Coturnix japonica: one gene and its partner. The main gene of each other region encodes a partner of the protein of the gene in region 2 in a complex. Links are inferred from orthologs where the notes say so. Each region holds a gene or a part of one and is shown on either strand. Other genes may lie near its edges. The genes, in order: IER5 and PPP2R2A.

Region 1 (14,267 bases), on a different chromosome or scaffold from region 2:
CACTAAGGCACAATGCTGGCAGGGCAGAGCACGATGCTTGCCCTGAGAGCTCACTGTGTGCCAGCTCCACGGATGGCTGGGCACAAGCAGCACGACATCCCGAAAGGCAAGCCAAGCCTGAGCCATGCAGACTAAACCTAGAGCCTCCTCCCACCGCCCTGCTAGCTCCAGGCAGGAGCCAGGCAGAGACACAGGCAGGATTTATGCTGTGGCATCCCTGGAGCATCCATCTGCTGGGGACCACCCCATGCCTGCTCACCCACAGGAGCATCCCTGGGTGTGCAGAGCAGCGTGTGCAGGAAGAGCAGCCCTTATTTATTAACATCCAGCAGTGTCTGCCTTTGCCTGACCCCAAGCTTTGTAGGAGCACACACCGAGACACCCTACAGCCCCATATGGCTCTGCAGGAACCACCTGGATTTTGTCTGTCCTCCCATAGATCAGCACACAGCTCTCCAACAGTGCACAACACACGCTTCTATCCGGCTTCCCTCCTCCTCCCTGCCTGCAGCCGCAGACACTTCAGCTGTGGACTAATTGGAGTGAGTTCAGAGGGCAGCCAAGAGCACACGAAAAGCAGCACAACACAACCTGCTGCAAAAACCAAGCCCCAAAATGGGGTTTGTCTGATCTGCAGCTCCAAATGCTAAGAGAAACATGATGCAGCTGTGGTTGTGGGGTTAAACTGTGCTCCGTCCCCACTGGGAAAAGGACACGAGGGTACAGGCTGTAAGCTGCACATCTGACACTGAGCAGCCTTGCTGCCCTCCACCTCCATGCAGCCCCAGCACACCGCTCTGTTCCTCTCCCCCTATTTACATCAGAGCGCTTTGACTCAGCTCGGAGCTGCTTCCCCGGCTCTGTCTCACAGCCCAGTCAACACGGAGCTCAACGGTGCCAAAAAAAAAACACCCGTTCCTCTCGGATCTGATTGTTTGTTTTCCTCCCTTTCCAGTTTGGGATTTTTGACAGGGAGCCATGTGAAACCAACTGCTCATTGTTTACTGCAAAGCCTGCGGCTGCGTTGTAGCAGTTCCACTCGCAATTCACCCCAAGGATTGGGTGGAAAGTTAACGAGCTCCACTTCATGATGCTTGTAAGGGTATCTCCAGTGTCTGTGCACACTGCCCTTGGGGGCATCACCTGCATGGCAAACCCAGAGCTCGGGCAGGAGGGCCGCAGAACCATACAAGTCGGAGGGGACCCTTAAAGGTCCATCTCCCCTGCAATGAACAGGGACACCCACAGCTCCATCAGGTGCTCAGAGCCCCATCCAGCCCTCCCTGTTACACTGTGCAGACCTCCAGGAGCATTTCTGTGTCTCATTGCTGAATACATCATTAACTATAGCACAGCTCAGGCTGAGCACTCGGTGATGCCTTCCCACTGACAGCGACACTGAGCGGCTCCGACATCGTCTTTCCCACTAAACTCTGTTGATATCACTCCTGCTCGAGTCAAACAACGCCTAAATCATTGCTTTTGCAAGTATTCCCTTTCATGATGTTATGAGCAACACCAAATGAGCTCATTATGACCCATTTTCCATAAAGCTCCCGCTGACTGGAGTGAATAACACCTCCCTTCAGCTCGCAGGGAGGAAGCCATGCAGATCTGCCTCCATGTAGGGCTGATGCTGAGAGGTTGACATGCCCCAATCCCATGGCACGGCCTGTCCCAAGCACTGCGGTCCAACCTGCTCTTGGAGGTGCCAAAGGCCAGGTCGGATGATGCCCTGGGCAGCCTGAGCTGCTGCCTAGATGGTCTTTGAGGTCCCTAACCCAAGCCATTCTTTTGGTGATCCATAGCAGCAGCCAGCCCATAGCAAAGAGCATTTTCCAGAAGCAAAGCAAGGCATAAGATGCAGCGTGGCTCACAGCCCACCCTGTTTTCCCCATTTCCCCTTGTCCTGACCCCAAAAAAGCTCATACCTGCCCTGAACAGAGCTGAGGTGGGTGAGAATACAGGTACCTCGGCACACAGCCTGCAGCGGGGCTGGCAGCCCCCGAACCCCAGGCTCCGTGGCACAGCTCCAACACTCAATAAGCAGCAATATTAGCAAAACAGCACACAAATAGATCCAAACAAGAGCCTCCTGCCAGCAGGGAGGGCGGGCGGCTCGCTGCAGGGGAGCACTGGAGATGTGTATGAGCAACAAGGAAATGGAGTGCTGAACGCTTCTTTGGCAACTCTCCCCTCCTGGTGCAGCTCGTCTCTGTTCCAGGCACTGAGCAGTCTGTCCTCTGCACCAAAATGTTCTTTACTCTCCCATCATACTGCCAGAAAGGTTGGGAGAGCTCTGCTGGTGGCTCCCTGTACGTGGGTCTCACCCCACGTGTGGCTTGCACCCACCATGGTGAGGTTGACAGCATGGATATGGGGCTCTGGGGCAGCAGTGTGGCAAAGAAGCAGCAAACAGCCCCAGGATACAGAGCTGTCAGAGAAGGGGAGAACGAATGGCTTCTCTTTGGGGAAGGCAGGGAGCAGCTGTTGCTGGGAAACTGCTCACAAAACCTGGCTCAACAAGGCACCAAAAGCACGTGGCTGATGGCACCCAAGCAGCACGGGTGTCCATCAATCCATCCAACCATCCATCTGTCCATCCACCCTCAGGCAGCTCTCTTGCTGAATCACTGCCCACCCCCTGTAAGGACAGCCCCAGGGGCTGTGCTGCACAGCCCACCCCCACGCGCCCCCAAGGCATGGAAGGCTGCAGGCACATCCCCAGCACATGCCTCAGTTTCCCCACAATGAGGATGCTCATCGCCCACTTGGGCCTCTATGTAGCTCAAATAAAAGGTGATCATTAGGACTGGAGGGAGAATTAAAGGTATGAATCACTTCCTCCCCTGGCTCCCTCCATCCAGCTGTCACCCCCCCCAGAGAAGCCCGAGGGGAACATCCATTTCTCCTCCTCTGCTCTGCAATGAGCACCAAGGGGACACGCTCACTCCTCATTTCCAATCAGCAGCAGCCACGAGGTGCTGTTGCTCTGGGAGCCACCAAACACCTCGACATGCACCGAGGCTTAGAGCCAATGCCATCTCTCTGCAGAAAGAGCCTTGTGGGGCTCCACCAGCCTGATGGTAACAGAGCACAGACATGGGGCACAGGCACCCCCCATGGCAGCAGGGTGATGCTGTAGAGCTCAGACACAGCTCTGCAGGATGGGGAGCAGTAGAATTGGACCCTGTGGGACAGAGACAATGTCCCATAGGACTCATAAAGCTCAGTGCAGCTGCTCTCTCTGCACTACAACAGCCAACACACAGCAGCACTGCAAGGTTATAACAATAGAGCCGTTGTTTCAGGTACAATATGTAATTAACCTGCGGGACTCATCCCACGAGGCTAATTTGGAGCGAGGGCTGCAGGGAGCTGTGCACAGAATGGTCACATACAGCCAGGAAAAGGCATCCCCATGCTCCATCCAAACCGGGAAGCAAAGGAGCCCTCAGGAAATGCCAAAGCCCAGCACAGGGCTCTCTCCCTACCAACACGTGCTTAGGAACAAGGAAAGGCCCTAGAGATGCTCCCTAGAACACTACACTGGTATCACTGTCATTTAGAGCCCTCTAGGCTCTAGTTTTCCTTGCATTATCTGCTATACTTTGGGCTCAGATTGTTTCCAGTTTTTGTTAAGCACCTACAGCAGCACCCCACACCAGCAGCACATACCTGGACCCTGCTGCCCCACAGTTGCTCCCGGAGGCCCTAAGTTCTGCTAGCAGCCCAGAAGCTGAGGGCTGACAACCAGAGGGCTGGTACTGTGTCAGCAGGGATGTCAGATGTTGACACAGGCTGCTATCAGCCCCTGGGAGAGGAGGTGACAACCATACCATTTACATGCAAGCAGCACAAAGCTGTATTGCTACAAGCAAAGGGAAATTGCTTAACCACATAACCAAGGTAGGGAATTAAACCTGTTGGGGAACAAAAGAGAGGGGAGTACCTGGGCAATGCACAGATTGAGGCTCCTCAGAAGCACTGATGGCACACAAGGACCCCTCACTGAGTCTATAACAGAGAACATCACTACAGTGGGAATCCTCCAACTACAAACATAGCAAACCCAACTAGCAACTCAACACAGCAAAGGGAGACAGGGTTGAGCTTAAATCCCCATGGGCAGCAGGGGGGTGGAAGCTTCAGGTGAGGCCACTCAGCTCCTCAACCAAGTGCCCAGGTGTGCAGGTGAGCTGATGGCTCTTCTCAGCTAGATTTAGAGAGGGAAATAGCCAAATGACTTTAGTGAGAGCAGGTGGCCCAAGCTGGGGGAGTATTAAGTGGCATCGTTATACCAGGTGATGCACATCAATGTTAGCCAGTGTGTGTACATTGAAGGACACGGGCTGGGTGTCACCAGGTGATGGCAGGGCATGTTGAGTAGCACACCCACCCACCCACCACCTTGCAGTACCTCGTCCATCCATCAGGAGGGAGGGCTGTGCTTGCAGACCCCCCCAGCGCTGCATGGCCGTGCAGGGGCAGCTCCTGGCTGGCAAGCTTCTGCAGGCCTCCACGAGAGGGCTTTGCTGCACAAGGAAAGGAGGAGGTTGGCTGCTCACAGACCGGCAGCTTACCCTGCATCTCAAAGCGAGCAGCAGGCAGCAGGAGGATGTCAGCACCGTGCTGAACCTGGAGGAGATGCTTGGAAGGGAGATGACCCCTCCGAGGTGAACTTGGCCTTTTCTGGTCCTGGAGCAGATGCTGAGACCCAAAGGGGCAGCTGCCAGGGTCCCAGAGCTCTCTGGGGGCAGCTGGATGGATGCACCCTGCTCCCAGCATGAGGCTGAGCGCCCTGGAGATGCATCTGCTGCTCTTCTCCCATAGGAAAGGGAAAAGGAGAAAGAAGGATGTGAGAGCCACATGTCCATCTGTCTGCTCATCCTTCCCCAGAACATGGCTCTATGCCAAGGCCTCGGGTCAGGCACAGCCCTGGAGCCAGCAGAGTTGGGCACGTGGGGGTTCAGTGCTGTCCTGGTTTGAATAATAAACAGGAGAAAGCAGCCTGCTCAAAGGGCAGAGTGGATCTGCCACCCACTCTTGTCAGAGCCCGCTGGGGATTTCTGTCCCCTGTTGCTCTCACAGCCACTTCCTCCCACGTGCTGCTGACAAAACCCCAGCCAGGGCCCAGCCTAGTGAGGGTTGGGGGCCCTGCTGTGTGCCTGGGGACGGGGCACAGCACCGGGGGCTCCTCATCACTCCCCTCCTTCCTGCTCTCCCACCCTTCCTGCCTCTCCCAGCCACTCTCTGTGTCCTTCCTGCCTGTCCCCTGCCCCATCCGCTCTTGTGTTTCCCTCCTCATTCCCTTTTCCCCTCCTGCAGGTGGTTCCCAGCCAGCTCTGTGCCCTCAGTGCCAGGAAAAGCAGAGGGGGAGCATCTCCCTGGGAGTCACGCTCCTTCCTGTGCCTGCATGCACAGAGCTCAGCTTGGGGCTGGATGTGCCTTGACCTGTCCTGAGCTGCTGCTGAGCCCCAGGGCTACAGGCTGAGGTCAGAGATGAGGAACAGGAGGAAAAGGGCCTTTCCCTAGGAAGAGGCACAGATCAAGGGAACAGGACATGGGGTGACACACTGGAGCATCCTGCACCCCATGCATGGCCAGCCCTGGCTCTCCAAACCAACACACTGCTCAGCTGGGAGCCAGAAGGAGCCCTCCCCAGCAGCTCTGTGTTTCATTACTGCTCTCACCCAGCCAGGGGGGCCTGCAGGGTTTTCCTATCAGTAGCAGCAATCACAACCAGAAGAAAGCTGTTTGCGTTCATCCCCTGCCTCGGGGACCCCAGCCAGCCTGGATTCGCCCTTCTCCATTCACTCAGCAGCCCCCACCGGTGCGGTGCCCCCCCATTCCCCAGCTGGGAGAGGCCCCAGCAGCGCGGCCCCGAGGCGCTGGCCTCCCTCCCGGCCTCCCTCCTCCTCCCTCCTCCTCCCTCCCTCCTTCCCAGCAGCTCCCGGATTCCTGAGCGCTGACACAGCCCCGCAGGATGCTGCAGCCCACAGCCTGCCCCCTCCTCCCCTGCCCGGGAGGCACGGACAGAGGCCAGGACGGGGTGCACCGGGATGGAGCACTCGTGGGGGACACCCAATAGGACCCTGGAAACCACCTCTATGCTCATCCCCTCTCAGAGGGCTGAGCCATCCCAGGACGTGTGGGTTCGGCCCTTTTATTTGAGCCTTGGGCTCTGCATCCAAGCCCAAAGCAGCCCCCTCAGCTCCAGACCACACTGAGGAGCTGCTCCCCAACAGCCCCACTGCTGTTCCAGGAGGTGAGGACCTGTCATCTTGCCATTAGATCACATCCGTCCGGGCCCTCTATTTCCATAGGAGTTACCCTTTCTTCCAAGTGATGGAAGGTTTTATTTTTATCTGGCTTATTTTTGCACTCCTTCCATCAGCAGCATTGGCACGGAGGTGCGGTTGGGCTGCCAGCCCCTCCCCAAGCCTACAGCCCTGTCCTTTCCCACCCCTTCGCCCTCAACGCAGCACCGTGGGAAGGGAAACTCCAAGGACCGAAACACTGGAACAGAAGAACGGCCCTTGTTTATGTCAGTGTTATTACAGGAACGAGAAAAGACGCAGGGAAGGAGGCGAGGAAAGGCAGATCCTGGGACCCCCGAGCAGCTCCTGAGAACATCGGGCTGCTCCAGCTCCCCCGGAGCACTTTCCTAAGCCCTGCTGCCAGTTATGCAAAGTATCTCCGGAACAATTGGAGCTGCAGCCGCCCTTCCCTGCGGCCAGCGGGGTCACCGCAGCCCTGGGAGCGGCCTCCAGCTCCCCCCCACCCAACAGCCGGCACTGAATTAGGCTGCGGGGTCCAACGTGGCTGCGGTACGACAGCGGGGACGGCTCCAGCAGCCCACGGAGCCAGCTCGGGTCCTTCGGGGACAGCGCGTGTCAGCTGATAAGCGAGAAGCCGGAGGTCACCCAGCCGGGAGGAGCCGCAGCAGCAGCGTGGCATTTGCCAGCGGTCCGGCTGTTGCACAACGCCTGTAGAAGGTGGAGCAGAGCCGAAGAACCTCCTCCCCATCTGACAACCAGTTTGGAAGAGAATTAACAGCATTTACAGCCCGCTGCCCGGCTCTCCCATCCCGACTTTTGGGTCGCATCTCCCAAGGGCGCACAGCAGAGTCCTCAGTGGGAGGGATCGTTAATTAGGAGCGGAGGAGCCTCCGGTGAATATCCCAGCGAGAAACTGAAGAACAAAAATTCCCCCACAATTCAATGTAATTACAACGCCCCGGGGCGCTCCGCGGTGGCTGTGAAGCACAGGCCAAGCTTTCCTCCCCACCCATGCGAGCAGGAACTTTAACCCAGTTCTTAGCAATAGTAGGAACTGCTCATCGTAACCACCGCGCAAGTAACAGCAAACAGGAGGCGAGGAGAACGACTGCTGGCAGCGGAACAAGCAGCCCCGAGCACAGCCTATGCCTGGCAGCGGCAGCTCACACGCCCCTAGAGCAGGACTTTGAGCCACAGCCATCGACCTGGAGCTGGGAGCGGGTTGGAACGTTGGGTCTACAACAGAAACCCAACGTAACCCAACGTAACCCCCCCTCACTACCCCACCCGAGGTAACGCGGGGTGCCTGGCTGCCACCCCCCACCCCACAGACAAGGATTCAGCCGCTACAGTCGAAAATATTTAATACGTGTCACACACGTAGCAATACATTTCATACAAAACGAGATACATCACCGAAGAGAACACTGTACAAACCCCCCCTCCATCCCACCCCTACCCCAATACGGGACCCCTAAGCCTTTATACAACAAAGGCCGGGGATCCCCGAGCCTAACAACCTCGGCTCACGAGGACTTTCCGTCGGAGCGTCTGTAAACTTCTGCTTCTCTCCAATAACCACTTTTTAAAAGCACCATGTAACAGTTCTGCCCTAAACCTTTCCAAAATAAACACTTTATTTAATAAATTTAATACTTTCCAAGCTTAAAATATCCCCCGCTGGGAGCGCCCCGGGGCGGGGGATCGGGAAGGGGAATTCCGGGCGGGTCGGGCCGCTCCCAGGGCGGCTGCCGACGGTCGGGGCCCGGCGAAGGGGAAGTGCTGCTGCCCGCTGTTCTTCCGTGCGGGGCCGGGAGGGGGGGAGGAAGGAGGAGGGGGGCAGCTCCGGGTCTGTCCGTGCCCCTCCTGGCGGTTAGAAGGCCACGATGGCCGTGCTCCACGGGTTGAGGGTCCGCAGCACGCGCTGATCGCAACAGATCTGCCCCGGCTCCGCGTTCGTCTCTTCGCTGCCGTTGAGGCTCGGCCGCCGGCGGCCCTGCGGCTCCTTGCTGAGCAGTCCCGAGAAGCTGGAGCCGAAGATGCTGATGAGGCTGGCCACGTTGCCCGTCTCCATGTCCTCCTGCTCGCCCTGCGGGGGCGGCGGCGACTCCTCCATCTCTCTGCGCGGCTTCTTCACGGGCGAGCCCTGCTGCTCCATCTCGGCGGCGCTCCGTTTCCGGGGGCACAGCGGGGGCACGGAGCAGCAGCGCCCGGCATCGCGGGGCCCCTCAGCGCCCGCCCCGCAGCGGCAGCCGCCCCACGAGCAGCGCCGTGCCGGCCGGGAGCTGCCGCAGTCCGCGTCGGCCGATGGCCGCCCGAGCCTCGGCGCGTCCGGCTCCGCGGGCGCCCAGGCGGCGGGACAAGTTGGAGCGGGCTGTGCCGGCGGCCCGCAGGCGGCGGGGGGCGGTTCGGGAGGGCAGCCCGGTTCGCTCAGGTAGACCTGGCGGGCGCTGCGCAGTACCAGCGACACCAGGAGGTTCTTGTGCAGCTTCAGGCCGCCGCGCTGGCCCCGCGCGCTGTAGATCTTGCCCAGCGAGATGCTGACGATGCGGTGCGCCTCCAGCTTGAACTCCATGGGTGGGCCGAGGTGAAGCCGGGGCTGAACTCGGGCCGATCCGCTCCGCCGCACAAACGCACACACTCACTCCGCTCGCTCTCGCCGACGACTGAGGGTGCCCACGCGCCACGCCTCCCTTTATACCGCCCCAGCGCCGACCAATCAGAGCGCTCCGCCGGCCGCTCCAACCGCCGGCGCGCCGGCCAATGGCGGGGCAGGGTAACGCGTTCGAACGCTCGCCCCGCGGAGAGAGCCCTTAAAGCGGCAATGCCAGAGAGAGGCTGGTGGGGCCCACCTGGAGTGGAAGGCAAGCGGGGATAGCGCCGGGTCGTCTTCTGCCACTAATTCCTGCCAAAAAAGCGCTTTGAGAAGCTTTCATCCCTTTGTACCTTACAGTACACAAGGGGCAGCTGTCTTTGATGGGTTTATTCTCCATTTTATGTAGAATACATGAAATACGTTGGGGTTGGATTCACTTTGTCCAGGTTGTGAATTTGGATTTGATTCTTGCCTCTATCCCCAGCCCAGCTCCAGGAAGCAATGGGGGCAAGAGGGCGAGGGCAGAAGTGAAAGGACAGCCCAGGGTATCGCTTTCAGCCTGCTGCCTTCCTGTCTGCCATGTGACGGCACTTCCCACTTCTCCCTTTCTCACCCAAAACAAGAGCCTCACTTGGTATTGAAGGGCAGGACGTGAGGTGCAGGGGCTGCCCGTCCCCATTGGGACTCAATGAGCGTGGAAAAGAACCAGCAGGGACCCTTCTCAGAAGGCTTCAGACCCCCCTCCCCAGTGCACCGGCCTCTGGGCTGCAGAGAACAGCCCCGGGCAGAGCAGGGCTTTCCTTCCCACCCTGCTGATGGGAACCAAGCACTGCTGTCCTCAGCGATCCCAACCTGTCCGACCTGCTCCGTGCTCAGCCCGACCGGCCGGGGCACCTCGGTGCTGTCATTGGGTTCTGTGACCAGCCGCGTGTGAAAACAACGGGGATTCTTTGTGGGTGCTGTGGGACACGAGCCCCTTGGTGCTCAGCTGAGCCCGGTAAGAATCAATGCCACAGAAGCAGGGCTGGGGGTGGCTGCAGAAAGTCCGGCCCAGCTCAGCCCTTTTAAGCCGGGCGGTATTTTGGTGGCAGCCCCGCTTTCCCTCCCAGGCTGATGTCATGCCTTAGTAAGTTTGAGGCAGCGTCACATGGCAGCTTCTGAGGTCAGCGCTCGCCTTGGGGTGGCTTTGTTGTCTGTCTGTCTGTACCCGTCCGCCCGTCGTGCCGCTGCTGCTCCCGTTCCCACGCGGGGAGGTGCCGCGTCCCCGTGTGCGTGGCCCAGCCGAGGGGCAGCGCCCCATCCATCCCCGGCAGGAGCCGGGCGGGCAGGGTGCGACCGGCCGCTTCTCTGTCCGCGTGTGATCTGGGCAGGCTGGAAAGGAGCTGACAAACAATTCGCAGCCCTTCGGCACAGCTGCCGTTTCCCGAAATAGCGGGGCCGGCAGACAAAGGTGGCTCGGAGCGAGCAGGAAACCCGGGGGGCCGAGCGGCGGGGAGCCCGCAGCCCCACCTGGAAAGGAAAACAATGCGAGATAAAAGAGGCTCGGGACAGGAAGCAGCTTGCGGTACAACATCGTAATCGCAGAGGCTGCGCACACGGCTGCTTTTTTATAGGCGATTCAATCAGCTCCGGGAAGTTCGCTCGGGGGCTGGCGCTGCTGCCTCGTGGCACGGGCTGCCCACGGCCCGATGGCCGTCTCATATCAGCTCTCTGTCCGCCTCCCTCGCGCTATCGGAAATATAAGGCGAACGGCGCTTTGTCACGTCCCGGCAGCTCTCGGGTCCCGCTGCCATCAGCGCCGGGCCGGGCCGGGCCATCTGGCACGCAGCGCGGCCCCCGACCTGTCGCCGAGTGCGGATGTGGTTACCCAGATCCTGTTCCAAGCTGGCGCCGACCCTCCGGCAGCCGGCACTGCGCCTTGTCAACACATGTGAGCCGGGCAGATACTCTGAAGGAATGGGGAGCGATCCCGGAGACATCCAGGTGTCCTCCAAGCACGGGATCCTGGAGCCTCCCCGGTGCATCATCGCCCTTCTCTTGGTTCGGGGGTTGGGCTCCTCCTGGGACACAGACTCTCACACCAGCAGCGTGGTAGGGGATAAAACCCTTCGTACTGAGCTTCCCCAAGTGACAATGGACCTCCAGGACATCTCCAGGCTCCACTGATGAAGCAACCATTCCCAAACAGGGCTTCGTTTTGTAGCCAGAGATAAGAGATATCTAACGCTGAGCATCGTTTGGGTTGATTCTTCCCTCCTAGATAAATCAATGGTTGACACAGATGCAGTCTCAGCCTCCCGCTGTTGGGTATGGGTAGGTAATGCTCCCCGGTTCCCATCTGCTCTGGGTTATCTGTGTTTGAAGACAAGGGCAGAGAGAACATCCCCAAATACTAAGCACTGCTGGGTGACAACCCAACACAACACGCAAGCGAAACAAAGAAAGCAACACAGACCTAAAGCTGAAGGAAGGGAAGTGGCTCCCCCAGCTTCTGAGAGTGCTCTGTACCTGCACTGGAAACCACAGCCTCGCGTTCACACAGCGCAGCACCGTACTAGAAAGCAAAGGGGTTTTTCCAAGGTTAAAACCCCTCTTCCATTCGGGGAGATCATAGAAAGGCTTAGGTTGGAAGGGACCTTAAAGATCAGTGAGCCCCAACCCTGCCGTGGGATGGCTGTCCCCTACCAGTCAGGCTACCTAGGGCTCCATCCATGACCTTACAGGGATCCATCCAGAGTTAGGGCACCCACAGCTTGTCTGAGTTTGGATAAGGATGTAGATGGTTATCAGCTCCTTCAGGCAGCCATTTCCCTTGGAAAAAGGTGGCCCCACAGCTTACAGTCCTTTATGAAATTGGCTTTGGTTTCCTGGGGAAAGAACACATTTATTTGTCCGGGGTTTCCTATCAGACAACCCTTCTATTGTAGTCCACCTTCCTGTATTTTGTTCCTCTGGTCCTTTGGTCCTCCTGGTGCCCAGGAGAAGCCCAGCACAGCACTGGGCTGCTGCTCACATGATGCCGACTGGGTGATTTGCTCTGTGCCCTGAGGGATGCTCTCACTCCGTGCCAAACAGGAGCCTGGGTTCACCTGCAGCCCAGCACAGGGTTAAATCCACACATCAGAGCCAGCCGAAGCCGCAGCCCTGCAGACTGTAGGGTAGGCTGCCTGCCCAAAGGAGTCACAGTCTAATTATTTTCTCTCCCTGCATCTCAAAGTCACCTTCCTTTTAGCTGGCAGGCAAGTGCCGGCTGCAGCCCTGCGCACGTCGTGGAGCACAGATGTGCCCTGTGTCCCACAGCTTCCTGCTGGATGGCAATGACACTTGTGTCACGCTGCCATGCTCCAAGCTAACAGTGAGGGACCACGTCCAGGCATCCTCAGAGTGGCATTCAAGGACAGAGCAGCTCACAGAAACATCAAATCACGGCATTGTAGAATCATGTAATCACAGCACCATAGAATGGTTGGGTTGGAAGGGACCTCAAAGCCCACCCAGTCCCATCCCCTGCCAAGGGCTGGTTGACCCCCACCAGATCAGGCTGCTCAGGGCCCCATTCAGCCCTTTGTGTTGAATCCCTCTCTCCAAAATGAAGAGAAAGCATGAAATGTCTGTGCCTCTTTCCTCTTGTGAGGACCTTCCTTTGCCACCTTGCCCTCTTGCGGGGCTGACTGTGTGACAAGGAGTTTGGGTACAAAAGCCACCCGTGGACATGGGGATAATGAGGACTGTTGATGGGGTGAGGTGGCCAGAGAAAGTTGCTTCTAATTAGTGCCTGGAATGGATTCTCTGGTCACACACGTGGGTGCCCCAGACCTCCTCTGTGACCCACTATAACAGTGCAGCTCCCACTATCCACCCCACAGATGGGGCCAGTCTAAGTCCTGTCACCAATCCATCAAGTCTTGCCAAACCAGCACCTCATTACCCAGATAAATAATCCTTTTTAGCTGCAGGTAAGCCCTGAGCATGGCCAGCATCCTTACAGGCTCAGTGCTGTCTGCCCCTTTCTCACTTCTCACTTCTCACTTCTCAATTAAGTCACAGCAGGTTTCTAAACACGATGCTCATGGAACCTCTTTATAAACCACAATGTAAACCCTTGCAGCCCACCACAGCAATGACTGTTTAGCCACAGACTGATGTTTCCCATCCAGTTATCACTGCCTTAACCCTCCCCTCACAACCACCATTGAAAAGCCACCTCTACTATATCAAATACACCTTGTTAGCAGCAGGCTGAGCACATCCCTGTGCATGTACATACATGCCATAGGAATTCTCCTGATAAAGCATTCCGTGAGCCCTGTGCTTTCTTGCAGGTTGGATTGTGATGAGCTGGAGCTTCCCAGTGTTTCATCAGATCCTCCCTGGCCAGTTCTGCAGCTGGCTAATGCTCACCAACATGAGGAAAGCTAAAAGCTGCCTGGCCTTTCCAAGCCAAAAACCTGAGCTTGGATAGCAAGATGAGCCTACTGTGAAACAACAGCAGTGCAGTCTTATGCAAGAAAACCCCCATTCATCATTTCCAGCATCAAAGAAAAGCTTTCTGCCTTCATTCTCCCTATGAAGTTCATGTCTTAGCCCAGCATACAGCCACCTCCTGCTGTATGCACCCAAGTCGCTGTGTTTTCCCATGCCCATAAACCAGTCCGACGTGTGTCCTCACCCCTGACTCGTGAGTAAGCGTGCTGCGATTGCAAAAGCCACTCACCTGGTTCCCATGCTGAGGAGGCATCTCTGCAAATGGGTTTTCCATAAGCAAAGCAGCACTGCCTTGGCTAAGGGAGGCTGGGCCTGAGCATGGGGGTGTGGGGCACAGCGGGATGGGGGCAGCTGAGGGATGGGGTGGTGTGGAGGAGCTCAAGGGAGATCTTATTGCTCTGTATAACAGCCTGAAAGGAGGCTGTGGTGAGGAGGGGTCGGCCTCTGCTCCTGGTAACAGCGATAGGATGAGAGGTGATGGATGGCATCAGGTTGTGCTAGAAGTTCAGGTTGGGTATGAGGAACATTCCCCCTCCAGAAGAGCAGTGAGGCACGGGACTCACTGATCTTGAGTGTCATGGAGGTACTGGGGACACTGTAGGTGTTACAGAGCAGTGGAAATACGGCACTGAGCGACACAAAGAGTGACACTGGAGGGGTTGGCAGCCGGGCTGCCCCATCCCAGCGCTGAGGGGAGGCGCAGCCGACGCCATGGCGGGACGGGGCGGGCGGCTGGCAGCGGGCAGCCGCGCATGCGCGCAGGGCGGAGCGCTGGGCAGCCGGGGCGCTCGGCGGCGTCGGCGCCATCATGTCGATGGAGGATCCGTTCTTCGTGGTGAAGGGGTGAGGGATGGGGTTGGGTGTGGGAGAGGAAAGGTGAGGGTTGGGGAGCTGGAGGGGTCTGT
Region 2 (15,047 bases):
ACAAAGAAACAGCAGAAAAATCTCCTGTTTTTTCCTGCAGCCATTCCCACAAAGGAACCTTCTAATAAAATACGGCAGTGTCTCCTTTTGAGCACTTCTGACTTACCTGCAGTGATGGAACCAAAGGGGACGACCTCACGCATTACAGGTGCTTTGAACACCCTGACACTGATCTGAGAACAATCACTGCTCTCACCACCAGAACAGTTCTGCCTCATCTCGTGTTCTATCAGCTCTGGAAGATCCAGAACCAGGACAAGATGAGTGCATCTGCTGTAGGACTGAGCTTCAGCAAGACAAACAAAGCAGAGAAACGAGGAAGGCTTCTGTGGAGCAAAGAATCTGCTGTTTGAGAAGCAGAGAGCAGAAGCCATGATCCATATGCACTGAGAGGCACATCCTCTTCACTGCTCCTCATGGAACCATACCCCTTCCAGCTGCCAAGCCTTTGCCAAAGCAGAGCGGCACAGGAAGGCCCCACTTCTGTCTTCATTCAACAGGCTTTAGTAACGGCTTCCCCTTTCTTTTCCTTCCATCCTCACCATCTCTCAAAGAAACACCGTCACATCCACCTACCACACTGTAAAGCCAGAAAATTAACAAGTGTCTCATGATAGTTTGTGCTTCAGCCATCAAACACCAACTCAGAAGGATCCACTGTGACCAAAGCACCTGAAGAGCTGTAGGTGCTCCCACTGCTGTACTCACACCTGAATCAGATGTGCTGGAAGCTGAAATAGCAACATTCTTCACAAACTTTATTAACTTGCTATTATCACTGTATTATAAGAAGCACTGCTCTCCATTCACTTATTTCTAGGCAACGTTTCAGGGAGACCACTGGGTTAAACTCCACTGCTTGCTGCAATTAAGTAGATGCAGTTTTCTTGATTGACACTCCCCAGTTTATGTTAACTTACGTTAACTTTTCTATTTAAACATCCTAACATTCTATTGAGAACAGGAAGAAAACAGGCAGGGAAACTCCTTCCAACCCTGGTACTACCCTCAGCAAACTGGCACTGCCCTCACTCATCGGGCAAGCAGAGCCCACACTCATTAGCTTGCAGACCACATTGGCTAAAGGACCATTGAAGTTTCAGACAGCACCGTTTTCTTAAGGTTTGGCCATGGAGCTTGCCAGAAGAAAGCAGACAGTGGGGTGGGAAAAAGGCCACAGCAGACTCAGAGCCACTGACAATTTGTCTGCTGGTATTCTGAAGGAGGACCAGAAGCATGCAAAACTGCTGTTCTAATTCCACGAGGCTTCATCTTATTCAAGCAAGTCTAACTTAAAGCCAGAAACCTAACTTAGAAAAGGAAAAGGTTGAAGTTTTAGCTTGATACATCATTAACCTTTTCAATGTATAAAGCATAGTAGGAACTCCAAACATTGCATGGAAGGTAAAACTGCATTACAGTTACAACAGCTGGCTTCCTACAAACTTCAACAAGCAACCTGAGACCCAAATAACCAGGAAGAGCTCAGAAGAGCTCCTAAAGATCCATTACAACCAACTATAACCCCACCTCTGAGACCCCATCCCAGGATGCAGACACACATCAGATATCCTGCAGTACAGTGAGGCTTTGGGGAGTCACCCCTCATGGTGCAAAGCAGAAGGCCCTACAGCAGCTAAGGACAAACTGCTTCCTGACTCCTGCCTTTCCACATCCCCATAAAAGCCACTACCCGTAGCTCATTGCTATTACACGCAGTCAACGTGTCTGTTTTAATGAAGAATTATTTGCAAGCATCTGCCACACAACCGTAATTCTTCCCAAAATTTGCACCTTGAGGATTTAGCTTGACGTGCAATTAAAAATAAAGGTTAGAGAATTTAAACTCGATCAAAGGAAATATTTACTACTTTTAACAGTAGTTCACAGCTCATGCCTTAAAATATACTTCCTCAAAAGCTCCTAAAATAAGCTTTAAAATAAAGTTGTTTTCTTGCTTCCAAAGTCCATCCTTCAGCTCACAAAGCGACAGCAGCATTTTAAAGCTCCTTGTTTGCCACGTGTTGCAGCCAATATATAAAATCAGACTCTTGTTTTCTGCCTCAAGTTCATCTCGATCACACATCGAATGGGGAAATAAAGGGAACTGCAGCTATTGCTCTTCTAAACCCAACGTTCATCTCACTTGTCGGCAAGCCAGAGCAAAAGAGTAACCAACTCCTGATCTTACAGGTCATACCATGCCAACAGGAACCTGTGGCCAAATGCATTTACAAGTCCATAACTATCTCAAAGCAAAGGGAAAAGCAGAAGTGTTGCCCACCACCACGACTACCCAAACAGCACGCAGGACTCCTCCAAGGATGGCCAAGCAAATAAGAGCAAGCACATTTCTTGTAGTCACTAAGATGGCTGCTTCTGATTGTAAGAGATGACATTTGTCACTGCCAGCACTGCTGTGGTGTTATATATATGTCATAATATGCAATTTCCATGTTGTTTCTAACACACAACTCCCCCTCCAGCTTTGAGGTAAGCAAGCAGACACAAATACTTTGATTTCATCCTCCTCTGGTTAACAGAAGTTGGGAAGACTGAGGAAAAATAATCACTCTATCAAATGCTTGGATCATCAAAGAACACCAATATTAATTAACTGCTACACCACTTCCCTGTGGGATGCAAGGATCACGGTCCAGGTTAGGAACAGCAAAAGCTGAGTGATGGGGAACCTGAACTGTTAGGGAAGACAACTACAGGTGGACACTCCTGAAGGCTGAATGGAGTCCTTCAAAGCACGAAGAGAACCCTGCTGGTGTAGCCTGATCCTGAATCGAATGCCCTGAATGCACATATGTGACTTGGGCCCTTATGTTTGAGATTGGGAAGATCTTAATCAAAGAGCAGCTATAAGAAGCCAGGGGAAAAAGGATAATCTGAAAGATCTCTCTTACCTTCTGCTACATCATCATCCACAGCGCCTTTCACCTGAGAAAAACACCACTGAACGTCATTTCCTCCTCCAGCTCCTGAAAAAAAAACACAATACAAAAAATGAGACCCCCCACCGCAACAGGAGCCGCCGACTCGAAGCTTTCAGACAACACCGCGCACACCCACTTCCTCAGCAGCAGCGAGGTCGGCACAGCCACCCCTCCCCACCTTTTCCCTTTACAGATATTGTTTTTGTCCTCAGCACTTTGCTGGCGTCCACCAAAGCAGCGTTAGCGGCAGAAGTGGATGGGAGCAGCTCATGGGGCTCGTACTGCTGGCACCAAACCCCAAAGCATCTTATTACACACAGAGCTGCTTCCCACTTTAGAAATCAAAGCCCTCTCTCCCAGCACACACAAAACCTGGTTGGGAAGCAGAAAAAGCTCTGAATGTGCAGAATATTTCAATAGAGAGAAACCAAGCGTGCCATTCATTCCCTCCCTTTCCAAAAGCCCCCCGAGCTGAACTTAAATACTGAAGGCTAAAGGAAATAATTCTACCAGGAACGAAAGCAATTATCAGCTTAAAAATAGAGGTGAATAAAAAGCAAAGCAGCAAATCCAAGTAGAAAAGCAAAGCAGCGATAGGAAGCAATGAGCTGTAATACCATAAAACACAGAGCGGAGAGAAAACTTGAGGAACATCCCTGCCCCGGCGGGAGGCGGCGATTCATTTGAAACCCCGAACCAAAACACGGCACAAAAAGAAAACCACCACCCATTTCTCTTTTACATCGACTTGTGAGCAAATCACCGCCGGGCTGAGGACATACAGGAAGGGGCTGACACGGGCCTGCCCTGCTGCCTCACTATTTGTGGTCCGGCCTTTTCATTTTAGGGCAAAGCCAATGTCAAAATGGAACTTTCCCTCGACGCGGTTTCAAGCGGGATGAGCAACAGATGGCAGCGATATGTTAATCCAAAGGGCTGCTGCCGTTCTCAACATGTAGAAGGGACTGCACCCCTCTCCTATACCCATCCATGGGAAGGATGGAAGGAGATAAAGAGGTGGGAACCTGAAGCCCAAATACAACCCAGGGCTTCTGTGGGGGTGCTGAATGTAACCCATGAGTGCTTGCAGCTCGCTCTGCTTTCCTTCCTGAAGGATTACAGCAAAGCAAAGCACACAGCTGGACCTGGTGAGGGCTCCAACAGCACTCAGCAATGCCAGAGATGCCAAAACGCCTTTAAGCAACGATGGAACTGCAAAAATACCCCCCCAAAGAGCCCCCCACCCCCACACAACCCGCTCTCCTCCTCCTCCTCTCCAACCCTCTTCCTCCGTCATTCCACGCTGCCATGGTGCCTGCTGCTAAAAAGGTGACGGGCTTGGAAAGAGAAATCAATCACTGCCCTCCATGCATGATGGCGAAAGGCCGCCTTCCAAACGGCTACGTCCAACCGTGCCGTTTTCTCCATTTATTTTTAAGAAAACAACAAAAAAAGAGGAAGGAGGAGATTGGAGGGGGGGGGGGAAGCCCAGCACAAACCCGCTGGAAGGGCGATGCAACCTGCAGGAGAAGGAACGCGTTCCTAAAAGCAGCCTGCCAGGAAAAGTGAGGAGGAAGAAGGAGGAAGAAGAGAATCCCTCATTGCACGAGCAAAGCTCCGGGATGCAAGATGGAAAGCGACGAGAAGGGACGCACCGAAAAGCCCGTGTTCCCTAATTACAGCCCCTCATTTATAAAGCTGCGGGGACCCCCCATCGCTCGGGGGTAACTTCCCAATCTCCCCCCATCCCCCTCCATGCCCGGCGCTCCCCTCGTGCCATTTTCACGCAGGGCCGACTGCTGAAGCTGGAGACCGACCAGGCGCTCCCCAACCCGGGGGCGGCTCCACCGTCTACAGCCCAGACCGCCCCCACCCCGGGGGCAGCAGCCCCACCTGCGCCCCCCTCCACCCCGCAGCAGCAGCAGCAGCCGCCCCTACCCCTTACCTGCCATGTTGGGCTCGCGAGAGCGGCCGCTGCGTGTCGGTCGGGCTCGGCGCTACGCGGCGGTGCCGCCGGTGCCGCGCTCGGGGCGGCCGCGGGGGGCGGATGGCGGCGGATGGTGGCGGGGGTGCGGCCGAGCTCCGCTCCTGGGGCTGCCCCCGATCCGCTCCTCGTTCCGGCCCACCCCCCCCCCTCAAGGCAGCTCTACTTTCAAAATGGCGCCGGGCGAGATGGGGCTGACATCACCCGGAGGGGGGCGGTGGGGGCGGAATGGGGCGGGGCGGTACAAGGCGGCTTCCGTAGTGTATGTCCGTGTGCTTCGCTCATTCATTCCTATTCTCCATCCCATCTTTACTTTCAGGCTCTGATTTCACCCAGGAAATCATTGCCCTTCCCAGCTCGGAGCCATTTTTATCCGCCTTCCACTTCGCAGATCCCCCTACACCCACCTGTCCCGTAATTAACACACAGCACTGCAGCCATCACTTCACCACCGTCTATTTAAGATCCCAGAATGACCCGGGTTGGAAGGGACCTTAAGGATCATGTAGTTCCAACCCCCCAATCTCAATCATAACCTCATCAGTTCACAGATATCTGTGCCAATGCTGCCAAGCAGGGCCATGAACCTCCAAATCTATTAGCCCAGGTTGCCCATCCAACCTTGCCTTGAATACCTCCAGATACAAAGCACCCACAGCCTGTCTGGATTTGAGCCCATTGAGCATCCCTAAAGAAGCTCCCCCTTTGCTGACAATAGCAGGACACGGGGAAATGGTTTTAAGTTAAAAGAGGGAAGATTTAGGTTGGATGTTAGTGGGAAGTTCTTTACTAGGACAGTGGTTAGGCCCTGGAACAGGCTGCCCAGGGAGGTTGTGGATGCCCCGTCCTTAGAGGTGTTCAAGGCCAGGTTGGATGGGGCCATGGGCAATCTGATCTAGTAAAGGTGTATGTTTGGTGGCCCTGCCAGGCAGGGGGGGTTGGAACTACATGATCTTTGAGGTCCCTTCCAACCCGGGTCATTCTGTGGTGCACATCAGAAACCCAGAACCAGTCCAGCTTGCAGGAGAAAAGCATCTTTATCAATGCATCCCTCTAAGGCCACGCATACAAATCAAACAGTTCTTGGGAAGAAAAAGCAATGTTGGGAACGCAGCATGTAAACGGGTGTTCTTTCAACTCACCTAAGTTTGGGAATATCTGGAGCCACATATTTTGCTTAGTCCATTTTGAGAGCAATGCAGAAACCTGGAGAGAAGCAAGTATGTTGGAAAGCATTCACAACCAAGAGCTCCTCCTGGACTATCATGGTGCTCAGAGCCTTCCCTTAACACATGGCCCACGTCTTCCAGAACTCAGGATCAAATGCACTCAACTCTACAGATCTGTGTATTCACTGTACTCCAGACCTGGCACAGAAGCTGCCATCCCTCGTGCTTCAGGATGCCTTAAAGCCATCCTCACCCCTACACAGAAGGGAACAGTTCCAAGCGAAGCCCCATTGCATTCTGTATTACTACTACAGAACTTGGCCCTTGTAGCAGAACGGGCGTTGTTGCAAAGGACTTGCAATTAGCACTGTAATATAAATTAACGAAGCTTTAGCACATACCTTATAATTAGAACAAAGTCCTTCTTATAAAAGACTTAATATCACGCTGCCAGAACGAAGGATCGTAATTCCAAACGTTTCAGGTTTTTGTTTTGAGCTAACTGAGCTATAGAACATAACGGAGTATAATAAATAATTAACATTAAATCACAGCCACAGTAATTAGTAAGACATCTTGGGAATCACAGCCTTTGCTCGCTTGCTAATTCAGACAGACACACATTCACGATAGCATTAATGGCTGGGGCACATTAACAGCAGCATTTTGCAGCTCTGCTTGGAAGTTTGTAAGCACATACAGAGGTTTATAAGCACATACAGAGGACCCTTGAAACCAAAATGTGACCAATGGCCAATTAAAAGCTACACATTCATATCAAATCGCTGATCAAACAACTACAGCCCCAGGAACTCTTGGGGTCACCCGTCCATTTCGTATCTGCTTGGCTTTCCTAGCAATTTGACCCATTAGACAAGACTATAATGAATTACAACAGCTCATATTAGGAATAAAAGGAGTAATCATCACCAAAGTTATCGCTGGAATTGAGTAATAGCTGGGTTCACTGCAAGTTAACATCAGGGCGATGCGATTCATTCCTGCAGCACGATCTTTGGGGCTTCGTATGGCCTGAGCACTAAGTATCTCAGCAAAAGGGGTTTCTTCATTTCATGCCTCTACGCATGAAGCCACTTAATTAACAGCCATTATCAAAACTGTGCCCTGCCTTTAATACTACCAGGTGGAGGTTCATGCTCACAAGAGGTCAGGCAGCCCCTGCTTTGTGATAAGCAAGCGGCTCATGCCATCTCCAAAGCGTCAACGTTATTGGATTAAAGCTCTGCTATAACAAGGGGAAGCCTCAGCTTTCTCTTTCAGGAATCACAAAGGCTTTTCTTCCTTGACTTTGGTCTGGTTCAAGCAAGCTGAAAGACTAATTAGACTTGGAAAGAATTTCATGCACTCATTAAAGTTGTAGTTTGCAAGACCGGTTTAAAACCAGCTCTGAACTTGATCTGTTTAGAGCAGGTTTAGGTTATAATGCCTGAAACCACCATTTGCAAAATACTGGTTTAATGGATTATTTAAGCCCAATTTGTAGAGGATTTGGACACCTGAATTTTGGCAGGAGATTCGTTTTTCAAGAGTGAAGAATTGAAGGCAAGAATGCAAGGAAAGCAGGGCTTCTGGGGAGGAAAAATGGCCCTGGAAGTAGTGGGCAGCAAAACAAGTGTGTTTTAATTAGGAGGGCTTGTTTGCGAGGGTAGGAGGCATCTCAGTATCTTCTAATTATAAAGACTAATAAAAGAGATGGCTAACTTGACATCCATACAAAAGTTGCATTCTTACCATCTTTAATTTTCTCACTAGGTTTTGATTGGCTGTGGTTACTGCTATGGGAAGATGAATCTGACCACAAAATAAAGGACTTACGATGGGAAATGAGCTTGAAACTGAAAGCACGGCTACAGGGCAAGATAGGGGATGCACCTGAAGGAGGCCTAGTCCTTATCATCTATTAGGAGGGATTAACAAAGCATGTAGTTCAGGATCACCTGGAACCTCTTCAGCTTCAAATCTTCCACCTCAGGGTGATTTGATCTTAACCCAGAGCTCTGAAACCTGTTAGCAGCAGAAAACAGACCACGTAAACAAGAAAAGAAGAGCAGAGCAAAACAGAGACATTAAACCAAGCACCAAGAAACACAAAGCGAGATATTCAGGAAGCGCTTTAGTCTGATAAGAGCAGTTGCACACCTGACTGCAATGCAAAGAAAAGACCTTTCCCTACTGGGAATACTCTCAGCAGAGCTGCTCTGTGCCCAAGGGCAGAGCTGCCATAGTCCTTCCCAGCTCCAGTTTTCACTGCTGATGCAGAGAATCTCCATCCTTCAGCCTGAAAATACACTTTCTTCGTACCTCTTCTGAAGATGTTCCCAAGCAGATAAATCCAAACACATAGGACTCAAAAACTATTAGCTTGGCTGCTAGAAGAAAGATGGTTAACGATCCTCAAGCTTGGAATCTGTTAAGGTAGACAGAATGAGCACAGCAATAAAGTAATCCTTACAAAAACACAGTTTCCAGGGAAAACACCACTTTGTGCATAGACTTAACTGAGAATCTGCTGCATCACCCAGAAGCACAAAGCAGCTCCCAGGTAAGAAAGGCTTTGCTCACCACCACCTTAATGAGGCACAAGGCAGGAAGGGGAGGAGCTGAGACAAGAAACCTGAAGGCCATTGCATTGTTTTATGTTTCTTTCCTTTTTTCAATCTATTTTTTTTAACCTCTAAACCTCCTGACCTATATGCTGAAGTGTTTATTTTGGGTGGAGGGTTGCAGTGGTGTTGAGGGAACAGAATTGCTCAGTCCTTACTAATAAACTTAAATAGGTGATGTAAGTAATAGCCTCAGAAACCTCTATGAAACAAATCCCCTTAACAAAAGCAGGAAGCTAAAGCAAGTGTGTTACAAACATTGCTGTCTATGGGATTTCCCTGTTAGGTTTAATAGTGAGGTTCAGTATCTTCTATTTTAGATCCCTCCCGAAGCGATGTTCCTATATGCATTAATTAACAAGCTATTATCCTTTGCTGTGTGTTGGAATAATTACACCCACACAGGTTTACTTCAAAAGGCGTGAGTAAATAGAAGTCTTAGTTTGAGTGCTGTAGTTAACCTGTGTATATCACTGAAGCTGTTAATAAAACATATATGAAAGCCAGCTGATATGAAAAGAGATCCTTAAAGACCACGGGTTGTGGGAAGAGATAATTGAATCAATCTGGGATCAAATGCCCTTGAAGACTTTGAACTGGAGCATCCTTGCTCTTGATCCTCACCTCTACTGAAGCCTCGTGCTTTTGGTGTCTCATTGTGCCACTGATGGAAGTGAGGGGCTATGGACAAACTGATGTCCTGGAATCACAGGAAGACATAAAGAAATTCAACTCTTTGGAGCTGAAACTGTTAGGAAGCATCCTTTGCTTTGCTCTGCTTTGCTTTGCTTTGTCACACAGTTCTGGTTGCAGGTTTGTAAAAGTCTGAAGGTATTGCCAGGAATGAACTGAGAAGGGAAGGAAGGGAGGCTGAAATAGCAGACTGAATTGTTCCATTCACATGGCTTTTCTGCTAGGGAATAAGTTAGCAGTGTAAACAGGAGAGAGGTGTGGTTTGCAGATTGGACAGGAAATCCTTAGTTCTAATCCTTGCTGTGTTGTTGATTCCCTTGGAGACCTCGAGCAAAAGCTTTCTGCCCCTATTTTATTTTTGCCTTGGAAATGAACTGAGGATGATAGCACTTCACGAGCTTCTAGGAGCAGCCTTTCAGTTAAAACATTTATAACGTGCTTTAAAAAGAGCTCGTGGTGCATGGGCTTGAAAGCAACTCGGCTTCATGCTTGAGGTTGTTTCCTTACTCTGCTCTGAGCTCCAGGGACCTTTGGGGGCCCAAAACAGCCTTTGTTTTTCTTGCTCGTAACAATGCAAAGCAGATGATTTACCCAGGATATAAGGAAATGTAGCCCCACCAATAGCCATTGTCCAGAGTGATTTGTGCTCAGGCATTGCTCTGCTGCCCTTAGCACACAGCGTGGCTGCGTTTCGCCCCAGTGCCAAACCTTATCTCCTCTCATTCTCTCCTTTGGTAAAACCAGAATGAGGCTTGTTTGACAGGATGAGGGGAAATGGGTTTAAAATGGAACGGGGTACACTGGATATTAGAAAGAAATTCTTTACTGTGAAGGTGGTGAAACACAGGAACATGTTGTTCAGAGAGGCTGTGGGTGCCCCCTCCCTGGAGGCATTCACATCTAGTCTGGATGGGGCTGTGAGAAGCCTGGTCTGGTGGGAGGTGTCCCTGCCTATAGCAAGGGGTTGGAATGAGATGATCTTCAAGGTCCCTTCCAACCCAACCTATTCTATGATTCCATGTTTGTTCACTTCCCCACAGTAGCTTTTGACTCAGTGCCTGATTCCAATGTGGTCTCATAGGAATGGATGCTTCAGTGAAATCCCACTGCCTACAGATTTCAAGGAAAGCTGATAGGCAGACAGATTGATTTGAGTGTGGACCTCATTAAACTTGAGAGAATCCATCCAGGCAAAGACGTGTCACAATGCTTCTTATGTGGCTAAAGCTTTAATCCAAGCTTGCATCCTCCTCCATCCCAGAGAACCCAGCAGTAAGGCTCAGGGATCAGACATGCCAAATAGCTCTGCTTGCAGAACTGCTTTTTGCAGCTCTTGCTGTGTGCAGAGCCTCCCCTACTTGCCCCCTGTTGGTGACATTGAATCCAAGGCTGAGTAACTCCGAGGCGGAGAATTGCAAGGTTGGAAACAGCCAGTTTGCCATATTACATGTTTATTATAACCACAGAAAGTTATAAGAGACTGCCTATAAGGTAAATGAGAGATGCTCTTTAAAAGAGAGCTGTTCTCCAGGCAAATCTGAACAACAAAATGATACTTCTGTGCATTCAGTGCTGGAAAGTTTTCCCCCTCCAATTAAAAAAAAATAAGGATTTGAGTGAAATTTCATCTTAACAAAACCCCTCTCAATCTGCACACCCAGGAATTATATTTATTATTATTTATTACATTATTTTACTGTATTAAAAGGCAGCCTTCTTGAAACAGAAGGTGCTTTCCTTCATTTGCAGGTTGTATCAGGGTAGGGGCTGCTTTGGATAGCACTGAAAAGCAGCTATTTAAAGGGTAGGTTTTGAAATCGGTTCAGCAGCAAATAGCATTACAGCACAGATCAAAAATGGGCTCATTCTACACTTCTTTTCTCTATCAAAATCAAAGGTGTGCTCCAAATTAGAAGGCTGGCGAGGAACTCACAGGAGCTGGGTTTTGTTCCCTGTTCTGTTGCACATTCGTGTTGCATGACTGAAGCAAATGGTCTGATCTCTTACTAAAAGCAGGGACAACGTTTTGCAAGGTTGGTGTGTTTGGATCCTCTGACTGCCCCTAATGTTAAGGATCCTGGCTTCTTTCTGTGCCTCTCAATGCTTCGTGAGTGACAGTAATTATTCCTTGCTAAGGAAGGGTTGAAGTTCCCTCTGATTTCTGTGCAGAACGTGGGTTGGGTTAAGATTCAGTGCAGCGTCAGAACAACTGCAGAAGACAATCATAAAAATAGCAGAGAAAATGGCTTGGGAAATGCAAGGTAGAAAGCAAACACCCTTGGTAGGGTAGAAAAATAACTCTATGAACAACAGTGGCAAAGAGATGCAGGGACCACAAGCACTTTAAGAACATGAAACATCTGGAAGAAAAGAAAGCCTTTGTCCCTTTAAGTGTGTACAAGGAGTCACAATCTTGATTTATCTATTTCTTTATACTCCCATCTGAGAAGGTGTAGGATTTCAAGGGATGTGCCAAGCACGAGGACATGATGCTGGATGGCTCCAATGGGCACCAGCTTTGGTTATTTTTGGACACATGAGTACTCTGTCAATGACGCCAGTGTTGCAGCTGGAACAAAGAGAGGCTTCTGTTTTGTTGTGGAGATAAAACTTGAGTGGACGCCTGGAGGAGGGGCAGCAAAGGGGAGGAAGGCTGCACGCCATGACCCATATCACGTTTTGCTAACAACGGCGTCCATTCATTGCTTAATTAAATCGTTAATTAAGTTCCACGCGTGGACTCGATAGAACAATTCATTGTGGGCTCAATGCAGTTTCCAACCTGTTGAGGAGAACAGAAATCAATTCGTTGCCATTCCCTGGATGTTGCCCACCTCACGGAGCACCCATCGATGTGACATCATTGGCTGCCCTTCATGGCACGAGTGGGCTGTGCTGAGTGAGATTCCCATGCCCTGGGGGTGGGGGATGTTTAACACAGACCATCCGGAAATAGGAACATCAATTTGTAGGCTTGTTTTGAAAAGAGGGAGTGTTGGTTGGAGCAGAGAGGAGCAGGGGAAGAGCATGAAGTTTATGCTACAATTAGAATCCAAACGTTTTGATTTTTGGAGAGAACTGGACAAAATTCTCTTAAATGCTTCAAATGGGAACCTCTTTGCTCTTTCCCTTTCACTGAAACCTGTTTTGAGTCCCCAAAAATAACTCGTAGAGGTCAGGTCCCTCCCATTTATATGTTCACAATGGTATGTGGCATTTCAGTTAATGCTCAGAGCCAAGAATACTTCCAAGTTCTTCGGGGCAGCTCTGGGTATTTGTCCTTGATGAACCCAATGCTGGCACTCAGTGTGTGGACAGGGTGGGAGCTGTATGAGGCTGCTGGGGGAATTTGAGACGGGAGGTCATAAATACTGGACAATTTCCACTCTAGGTCATGGTTGATGAATGATGAGCTAACGTGGCTTGTAGAACAGGGAATGTCTTGTCTTCTTCTAAAATATTTGTTTGTACACCTGTGTTTTTCTCTATGTTTTTTAGGATAAAACCCGTCAGGAAAGGGAAGCAAAAGATGAAACAGATGAAGCAAATGTGGAACAGCAGCAGCGGGATAACAGGCAGCTTCCTTTGGGGTATTTCTTTCCCAGTATCTTAAATACAAGAGGTGAGAGGATAAGCAGGAATCCTGAATCCCATGCACATGCGAGTCTAGTTAAGCAGAGACCCAGCAAGCTCAGCAATGGAGTCTTCTTCTACCACTGTGTATATCACAGTGGGACAATGCAGCTTTGCCTGCAGGCAAAAGTTGTGCTGTTTGTGTGCTCGTGTTGGGGAGCAGCACCCAGAATTTCCTTCCCTTATCTCCACCTGCAGGCAGCCACAGCACAGACCTGTGCCTGCCAGTACAGCCAAATTGCACCAGCTGTCTACAGCTGGTCATAGAAAGTGTGCTCCATGGGCCTGTAATTGCATTTACTCACCTAATTAGTGGTGAAAGGGAGAGTTCCATGCCAAAAAGAGAAGTCTGATGAAGGTTGCTTGGTGAGAGCAGCTGTAAGGGTAACAAAAACCAGCCCCAGCTTTGGGGAGGTCAGAACATGTTACTGGTGGGGCGTCTTTGGAATAGGCTCCATAACCCCTTACCTTTAAATTTACTCACTAATGTGAAAGGATAGATGGCTAAAGGAGCTTTGAACACAGCAGAATGCACATTCCTAAAGTCACAACTTGGAAATGTAGGTGATGCCTTTTCCTCAAGTTTACCAGTGCAGCTGTGCAGTAACCACAAAATTCAGAGCAATATACTGCCAAGCAAATGGACCTTTGGACACATGACAGGGCTTGCAGTGCTGAAACTCAAAACAAGCTTTCAACTGGTTTAAAACACCATCTTGATTCCCATGATGTTTGCACCTTTCAGGATCAAGACTGATCTCGGTAGTTCTTGTGCTTCAGGTAGGTTTCTGTATTAATTACATTGCTGGTTTAACTTCCAAATCAGAGCTGGGTGAATGACTCAGCTGCTATTTTATTGCTACCCTTTCAATTTTAGGTGGGAAATGTTTTATATAACTGCACTGTGTCACGTTTTCAGCTGAGGAAAGACATGTTACTTTGCTGCCTCAGGTCCTGTGAGACCTTCTAACCCATAAAAATGGCAGTGTAGCATTATCCTCTCCTATTAGACATGCAAGAAAATACATCCACTGATTGTTTATCTTCCAAAGAGATGAAAGATCACAATTTAAATACTCCCCTTCCTCCCCATCTTTATCTGTCCAATATCTATCAGGGACAATGAGGAATGTTCAGGAGTTCCCAGATCCAACCTAAACCTTCCTTTAATCCATCCTCTATGTCCACATTGCTGCCTGTGCTGGGTGACAGCCTCCATAGGAAAGTAATTAATTCCTCCAAGGTTTTTCCCATTAGGGGGTTTATCTATCAGTGCTGTATTGCAGTAGGAAATGCAGTAATGCTGCCACCTATGGAAAATATCCCAAACCCGACCTTTTGCAGCCCAACAAAATGCTTCTGCAGCTGTGAAAACAGGATCTGAATGTGCACCATTGATCTGCAGATAAAACCACGCATTTGTTACGGGGTCTCAGTTAATCTAAACGTGAAGGGAGCTCAAATTCTCTTCCTTTCAAATAAATTAGTTTTGAAATTGAAATTGTTTCCGGAAATTGGTCCTTAAGACAATATTTTTACTTGACGGTGGCACCTGGAGGCCTCAGCATAAAAAAACCCCACCGCCCTATGGTGGTAAGTGCTGTGAAAACATCAGACAGAGCTGGGCAGCACTTCCAGCCCCCCATCTTTCCTCACAGAGGTGTGGAAGATGTCAGGGAAAATTAAGTTCTTCAAGGATCAATCTGACTTCTGCACATGTGTAATGAATGGATTTGCTTTGGGTGACTGCTGTGGGGTGTTGCTCTGTGGGTCGATGCTGTCCCCCAAGAACGGGGATTCCATCACCTCCTTGGGTAGCCTATACTAGTGCCTGACCACTATTAGTGGTATAGTATTATAGTGGTATAGTATTCTTTCTTAATACATATATATATTAAGAAATATACTATATATATAAATATAGTACTATTCCTTCTTAATATCCAACTGAGCCTCCCCTGGTGCAACTTAAGGCCATCACATCTTTATTGCAACATCC

The links.
Region 1: the proteins of PPP2R2A (region 2) and IER5 are in contact, whole or in part, in a cryo-EM structure (PDB 8UO5), measured with the Homo sapiens proteins. The link is inferred for Coturnix japonica from reciprocal best matches to the Homo sapiens genes PPP2R2A and IER5. Residues at the interface, in NP_002708.1 of Homo sapiens: Glu91, Ile92, Glu93, Glu94, Asp116, Tyr178, His179, Asp197, Leu198, Met222, Leu225, Thr226, Glu227, Val228, Thr230, Ser247, Phe280, Phe281, Glu283, Ile284, Ser287, Cys334, Tyr337, Glu338, Asn339, Asp340, Phe343, Lys345; in NP_057629.2 of Homo sapiens: Ala7, Arg9, Ile10, Ile13, Ser14, Lys17, Arg25, Gly26, Lys29, Leu30, His31, Lys32, Leu34, Leu35, Val36, Leu38, Val39, Leu40, Arg41.

What each region holds. Positions count from the first base shown.
Region 1 is NC_029523.1:5,890,702-5,904,968, reverse strand, and holds IER5 (immediate early response gene 5 protein), read right to left. Parts: upstream 9,012-14,267; 5' UTR 8,857-9,011; coding exon 8,155-8,856; 3' UTR 7,628-8,154; downstream 1-7,627. Other genes in the region: STX6 (syntaxin-6), read left to right, coding at 14,171-14,205. UniProt on the Homo sapiens protein: Plays a role as a transcription factor. Mediates positive transcriptional regulation of several chaperone genes during the heat shock response in a HSF1-dependent manner. Mediates negative transcriptional regulation of CDC25B expression.
Region 2 is NC_029537.1:1,777,565-1,792,611, forward strand, and holds the start of PPP2R2A (serine/threonine-protein phosphatase 2A 55 kDa regulatory subunit B alpha isoform), read right to left. Parts: upstream 8,477-15,047; 5' UTR 8,462-8,476; coding exon 8,421-8,461; intron 8,124-8,420; coding exon 8,057-8,123; intron 6,136-8,056; coding exon 6,072-6,135; intron 5,096-6,071; exon of another isoform or gene 4,898-5,095; coding exon of another isoform or gene 4,891-4,897; intron 3,615-4,890; exon of another isoform or gene 3,600-3,614; coding exon of another isoform or gene 3,563-3,599; intron 2,991-3,562; coding exon 2,916-2,990; intron 1-2,915. UniProt on the Homo sapiens protein: Substrate-recognition subunit of protein phosphatase 2A (PP2A) that plays a key role in cell cycle by controlling mitosis entry and exit. Involved in chromosome clustering during late mitosis by mediating dephosphorylation of MKI67.